2 linked regions of the Danio rerio genome follow. The protein of the gene in region 1 interacts with the protein of each later gene in a biochemical or structural test. Links are inferred from orthologs where the notes say so. Each region holds a gene or a part of one and is shown on either strand. Other genes may lie near its edges. The genes, in order: abcc4 and mpp1.

Region 1 (3,839 bases):
CAATCAAACTCAAATCACAGATTCTTTACAAACATTTATTCAACTCATCTTGTGAAATGTATTCGTATTGCAATATATATCGCAAAATGCTAAAATATTGCAATGTGTAATTTTTCTAGTATTGTGCAGCCCTACTTACCTGCATGCATGTTTGTGCTTTTTCACTATCACTTGAACATGTGGTTTAAATGCTTTAGGCCACTGTCATCACTCATCAATAATTCAGCATGCACATTTAAAGCTTTATGTTGATTCTCTTCCCCTTTATCATCAGCTGGCTGAATCCTCTTTTCAGTATCGGATCTAAGAGGAGACTTGAGGAGGATGACATGTTTAATGTGCTTCCGGAGGATCGGTCAAAGAAACTCGGGGAGGAGCTGCAGAGGTGAGTGAACCGCTGGGAATAAAGCGACGCAAGAACAGGTTGTTCTCAAATAAACCCTCAGAGAGTCCACCCGTGAAATGTGAGAACGCTGCAGTTCCCATTAGGTGTCGAGCTCGTGATGGTCTCCACTGGTTTGTGCAAGCTGTGCATTATGCAATGTTGAGCTCTTGTGAAAATCTCTTAAATCATTCACACATTTATTATGCATGCACGGTGAAAGGGTCACTAAGCTTCCATTGAGATTAGTAATGCGAACAAACTGTACATATTTACTAAAGTATTTATTATTCTTTGATAATGTTACTTGGTTTATATTAACTCAGTGAGTTAACCAAAGTTAATACGTTTTTCTGAAATACTTGATTCTGATTAGTCAATTACAACATTTATAAGGTATGTTCCTCCCAGAGAACAACTGAATTAATAATAATAATAATAATAAAAATAATAAATTTATTTGCATATATCGACATTAAAGCTTAATTTTCAAAATACTTTAAGCTTTTAAAATACAGAGATAAAACAAATAACACAAGCTCATACAGGTTTTTGGAGTCCTAACCATTAGAGAATTTTTCATATAACAAACTATGTACATATTTACTAGAGTATTTATTACTCCTTGTTAACATTAGTTAAAGATATTTCAGCCATTCATTGTTAGTCCTTATTAATGCACAGTGAGTTAACTAACGTTATTACATTTTTCTGAAATACTTAATTCTGATTGGTCCGTCATGATATTCCAAGGTATGTTATTCCCAGATAACAACCACTGAAGAAATAACAATAATAAATGTATTTGTATATACAGTAGCACCATTAAAGCTTAATTTTCAAAACACTTAAAAAAATACTATATAATTAATAAATATATAATTAATAACAAAGACTTATGCAAGTCTTTGGAATCTTCCTATTTGCGCTTAAATAGCCACGTGAACATTTAAGTTTGCTCGCTTCATTTGCGCGTCAAACCCCGCTTTAATCGATACGTTTAGGGCCGTGTCTGAGTCCACTAGATCCTTTCTGAGGTGCATCCGTCTCTGTGAGCTCCTAAACTCCTGCAGAAACTTAACCTGGATAATGGAGGATTTCAGCGGTGCTTCTGACTCAGCTGAGCCCAGTTTGATGAACTGTCGTCGGTGTCGACCATACCTGCCAACACTCCCATTTTACCCGGGAGTCTCCCGTTTTTCAGACCCATCTCTCGTATTGTTCTGTCTCCTGGAATTCCGGGATAAGCGCGTAAAACGTGCAAAATGTTTTCTGTTCAATACTTCATATAGAAAGATGAGACGCTTTTCAAACGGCTTCCTCATTTTTGTTTTGGTTTTGTTATTGAGATAGTCACACAGCCCATATTTACATATTTATCTAGATCTAAACCTCAGGAGAGAGGGTGGCATTGGGATGTTTCCTAAACCAGGAAAGGTATTGCAAATGTCTTTTTACCCAAATAATAATAATATTTTTTAAAAAGAAAGAAAAAGTATAATGTTCCCTTTAGAGATGCAGTGAAACAAATCTTCACAAACTACACAATTTCATGATGTTATTTCAATATTTAAAACGTTTTTTTGTATGCTGGTACTTTGTGGAACCAGGCCACAAGGGCACGTGATTTAAATGGTTATACTGTTATATATACGGAGCAGAGCTCTTGGCAGAGGCTACAGAGAGCAGGATGGAGGGTGTGTGAGGTTAACTTAATGCTCCCTCTGCTTTTCCTGCTCACTTTCATTTTGAACTACACTAAAAACGAGCCTACAGGCTACTCATTTTGAGAAGTAGTAAACTGAAGTAAAACTACTTTAAAGAATAGTTAAGTACAGTACATTTGTTTATGCATGTATTAATGATATATTAATGTAATTATAATAAACATCTATCTATCTGTCTATCTGTCTATCTATCTATCTATCTGTCTATCTATCTGTCTGTCTGTCCGTCCGTCCGTCCGTCCGTCCGTCTGTCTATCCGTCCGTCCGTCCGTCCGTCCGTCCGTCCGTCTGTCTATCTATCCGTCCATCTATCCATCTATCCGTCCATACATCCGTTCGTCTATCTATTCTTATGTCCATCCATCTATCTATCTGTCTATCTGTCTGTCTCTCCGTCCGTCCGTCCGTCTATCTATCTATCCATCCATCCATCCATTTACCATCTCAAATAAATCCACTTTGTGTGAGTAAACAGTGTATTTTTTTAAATAAAATTATTGAATCTTTTAAATTGCTTTGTAAAAAGTTAGAATACAGTTAAATTTATGCAGTTAATAACAGTAATTAAAACTAATATTAGTAATACAAATAATACAATATTTTAGGGCTAAACTATGGTAATTGAATAGCCTTTTAATGTGCCCTAAGATTATTTTTTTTAAATCTAAAAATCCCTGACAATTATTTTTTGATATGTAAAATTTTATACTTAATGGTATTGTATTTTATTACATGGAAGTAGGTCATCAGTCTTTGTAAACCTGCATTTAATTACAATTTTATTATATCTTTCTTTTTACTGTTGGTTTGCAAATGTTTTGCTTTTGGCTTCTGAGGAATGTAACATTTTGTGTTTTGCATAAAATTCAAATACTATTTCAGAATTGTTATTTAGCATTACTTTTAAATCAGCATTTATGAAAGCTTCGTAATAGCTTTTGCAGTTATTATAAAGTTATTACTATTTATTGCGTTTCGGGTACAGAGTGATCCCCTCAACTCATGAAATTGCATTTAAACATTTGTAGATAAATAATCTTATCTCTATCCAAGTTAATATGTGTTTAAGGTAAATATTTGTATCTGTTTGTTTATTCCCTACTAATCAAACACATGGCCTGTCTACTTTGCGGCCCCTTTTTACAGTCCAGTAAATTCCTTATCAGTACTTCAAGTTTAAAGCTTTGTCATAATTGATTTCCACTAATAGTTTTATTGAGAAATGATCTCTTCACAGAATAAAATACAGACATTGTACAATCCAAATTTCATAGTTGTCATTTGTTCTCTCAGTCACGATTTTACATATTGTAAACTAAATCACCAAGTATGATTAGCCATTCATATTGATGTTCTTTTTTTTCTTCACCTTGAGGTTTTATTACATAAGAACAGATAAGCAGATAAATTATTTGCAGCACAGTGGAGAAAACCCGCTGATAATCAGCCGTAAAAGTTTTTATCTCCAGCCATGAAAGCGTGGAAATTAATGACAGCGAACACAATCCTGTCATTCATTAAAAAGCACCTCCACACACACTGTTTCTCCAGCCTCTAATCATGCACTTTTAAATGAATCAGTGCTGGTTCATTTAGCTCAGAGCTCGGGGCCATGACACTCATTTCTGAAGCTTTTATTGCCAGCAGCAGCTCAATGGGGCCGAGACGTAAACACTGATGTTCTGCCTTCAAGTAAACTGTTGTTTGCAGATGTAGAATTTACTGCCGGA
Region 2 (3,839 bases), on another chromosome or scaffold:
TTCGGACATGCCCATTTTACGCAGCTTCTGCTTTCTGAGCTTTAGACTTTGCGCTTAGATCTTTAAAATAGAGCCAAATAAATCAAATTTTGCAAAAATTGTGTGATCAATGGGCAAAAACTGTAATATGACCTTTATAATACTGATAACCATGACAATTTTGTTTACCATAATTGTGATATGAAATGTTTATACGGCTACATCTCTAATTGTGCTGTATGCTTTCAGGGAGTAACTTTAAAGCTGAATGAGAAGCAGAGGTGTACAGTGGCCAGAATACTGCACGGAGGAATGATACACAGACAAGGTTCAGTGTGTGTGTGTGTGTGTGTGTGTGTGTGTGTGTGTGTGGTACATTGTATTACTTACACTGTGGGTACCAAATGTTCCCACAAGTATAGCAATACCAGTACAATTTGGCCTCATGGGGACATTTTTGTTGGTCCCCATGAGGTAAACGGCTCATAAATCAAACAGAATGAAGTATTTTAAAAATGTTGAAAACATTAGTAACACTGTTTTTCATTTCTTAAAAAACAGGTTCTTTACATGAAGGGGATGAGATTGCAGAAATCAACGGGAAAAGTGTTTCTAATCAAAGTGTAGACCAGCTGCAGAAGATTCTGGTGGGTATTGAAGTCCTTTGTTTGTAAAGAATAAATACATTTTAGCATGGTTAAAAAGAGCATGTATTAGAGAAATAAATTACTTTGAAATGATGCAATGCTATTGGATACTCAATTGCATTTATTTACAAATGATTGTAGTGCAGTCTAAAACTCTTATGTGTGGGTAAAAATTACACCCTAATACACTGCTTTATTTATTTATTTATTTATTTATTTATTTATTTATTTATTTATTTATTTGTTTATTTGTTTGTTTACTTATGTATTTATTTTATTATATATTTATTCATTTATTTATTTTTTATTAATGTATTTGTTTGTTTATTTATTTATTTATTTATTTATCTATTTATTTATTTATTTATGTATTTATATATAAATTACTTAATTTATTTGTTTGTTTACTTATTAATTAAATAATTTGTTTGTTTACTTATTTATATATTTATTTATATATGAATCACTTAATTAATTTGTTTGTTTGTTGACTTATTTATTTGTTTACTTATTAATTAAATAATTTGTTTGTTTACTTATTTGTTTGTTTGTTTGTTTACTTATTTTTTATTTGTTTGTTTATTTATTTACGTATTTATGTTTGTACTTTCATTTTAGTTGTCTTTTATTTCTTTAGTTTTAATTTCCAAAAGGAATCCTCATTGCACTTAGCAATCATAATAAAGCTTGTTAAGTGGATTTTATGATTTATGAAGGAATTATACTGCTTTGTTTTGTTATTTCATCTTCATTTTCAAGTAGCAGGGTATTTACAGCTACTGTTTATTTCTGTTAATACTTTCTGTGCACTCTAAGGTAAAAAAGGACAGTTCCTAGTTCTTATCATGGATGTCAATGGCTGCTTTTTCCCAACATTCTTCAAAATATCTTTTTTTGTGTTCAACAGACGAAATAAGCTTGTTTAGAACTGTGTGTAAATGAGGACATTTTCATTTTTTGGGTGAACTGTCCCTTTAAGTAACCTTCAAAAGTGTTTGTGTGTGCACATTTACTGTGATTTGACGTGTTTCTATACTGTTCCACATAACAGAAAGACACAAACGGCGTCGTCACGCTGAAAATCATCTCCAATCAGCAAAGTCGACCAATGGCGTGTGAGGTGAGTAAAACATCCGCGTCACATTTGACCAATACCCTGCTTCCATTTGTGTTTCATGATCACAATCGACTGCATCTGCAAATACTCCCTCTAATGGGGTTTGATCACTTCTTTCTTTATCTGCCTATTCTGTATGCTTGATTAAATAAAGGTGTGGGGTTTATCATGAGAAAGCAGTGAAATGCACAGGTGACTATTAAATCGACAGTAGCAGAGAATAACTGTAGATTTACTCACTCATTCAGATAATCTTCTGCCATCTGCTGGTCACACAGCGTCAAACACGAGTTAAAGGGATAGTTCACCCACAAATGAACATGCACTCAGTGTTTACTCATTCTCAAGTGGTTCCAAACCTTTAGGAGTTTCTTTTAAACACGAAAGAAGATATTTTGAAGAATGTAGAAAACCGGTAACCATTGACTTCTACTGTAGCTAATTCTATGGAAGTCAATGGTTACCGGTTTTCAGCTCGTTTCTTCCAAAGCCATGTCCAAAGTGTCTTCTTTTGTGTTCAGCAGAATAAAGAAACTCATAAAGGTTTGGATCAAGTAAAAGGGTGAGTAAACAATGACTGATTTTGTGTTATTTGGTGAACTGTCTCTTTAAATTAAGCAGACGGTGACCATGTGATGAGCTGTTGTAGTTTTCTTCTTTCATTATATAACAGAAACCATTCTGATATTGTAATGTTTGATCACGTAGATCCTTCTAGAACTCTGCTTATAGACTATAGTGACATAGTTGTAGTTATAGATCTGTCTGTCTGTTTGTCTGTGTGTAATTGTTTGTACCTTTGTCTGTTTTATATATGACATGTATTTAACATTATATTACATACAGCACACACTATTTATTTATTTTGTTTGTTTATGCTCAATGAAAAAATAATAATTTTTAAATGTTTTTTTTTTATTATTTACTTTAAATGTATTCATTTATTTTAAACTAAATAAAAAAATAATAATTAATTATCTTTAATTGTATTATTTTATTTTGTATTATTATTTATTTTTAATTAAACTTATTCATTTAGTTTACATTTTATTTATTTATTTTAAACTTAATAAAATAAAATAGTTAATTGTTTTTAATTGTATTATTTTATTTTGTAATATTATTTATTTTTAATTAAACTTATTCATTAATTTTACATTTTATTTATTTATTTTAAACTATATAAAATAAAACAATTGTTTTTAATTATATTATTTTATTTTGTAATATTATTTATTTTTAATTAAACTTATTCATTAATTTTACATTTTATTTATTTACTTATTTTAAACTAAATTAAATAAAATATTTAATTATTTTAATTGTATTATTTTATTTTGTATTATTATTTATTTTTAATTAAACATATTTATTTATTTTATATTTTATTTATTTATTTATTTATTTTAAACTAAATTTAATCATTAATTATTTTTAATTATTATATTTTATATTATTTATTTTTAATTAAACTTATTCATTAATTTTACATTTTATTTATTTACTTATTTTAAAATAATTAAATAAAATAATTAATTATTTTTAATTGTATTATCTATTTTGTATTATTATTTATTATTAATTAAACATATTTATTTATTTTGCATTTTATTTATTTATTTATTTTAAACTAAACAAAATAATTAATTATTTTTAATTATTATATTTTATATTATTTATTTTTAATTAAACATATTCATTTATCTAACAATTGTATTTATTTGTTTTAAATTAAATAATTGTTTATTTTTAATTGTATTATTTTACTTTGCATTGTTTGATTTTTAATTACTTTAAAAATAAATAAAACTAATTTAATTACTTAATTTTAATTACTTATTTTAAGCTAAATTAAATTTATTTATTGTATTATTATTTTTTATTAATTTTATCAATTTATTTTAAATGTTTTGTATTTATTCTTTTTAATTAAACATATTTATTTTTGATTACATTTATTATTGAAATATTTTTTATTTATTTATGTATTTTTCAGATGTTAGTTAAGGAGATGCACCAATGTGTCAGCCAATAATCAATATCGGCTGATCAATGTAATTAGTTATTGTTTAAAAAAAAAGTCAATGATAACATGG

Evidence for each region.
Region 2: the proteins of abcc4 (region 1) and mpp1 form a complex in vitro, tested with the Homo sapiens proteins (2 studies listed by BioGRID and IntAct, with this or other methods). The link is inferred for Danio rerio from reciprocal best matches to the Homo sapiens genes ABCC4 and MPP1.

Annotation. Positions count from the first base shown.
Region 1 is NC_133181.1:8,263,061-8,266,899, forward strand, and holds part of abcc4 (ATP-binding cassette sub-family C member 4), read left to right. Parts: intron 1-274; coding exon 275-385; intron 386-3,839. UniProt on the Homo sapiens protein: ATP-dependent transporter of the ATP-binding cassette (ABC) family that actively extrudes physiological compounds and xenobiotics from cells.
Region 2 is NC_133196.1:48,093,759-48,097,597, reverse strand, and holds part of mpp1 (55 kDa erythrocyte membrane protein), read left to right. Parts: intron 1-228; coding exon 229-307; intron 308-540; coding exon 541-626; intron 627-1,677; coding exon 1,678-1,746; intron 1,747-3,839. UniProt on the Homo sapiens protein: Essential regulator of neutrophil polarity. Regulates neutrophil polarization by regulating AKT1 phosphorylation through a mechanism that is independent of PIK3CG activity.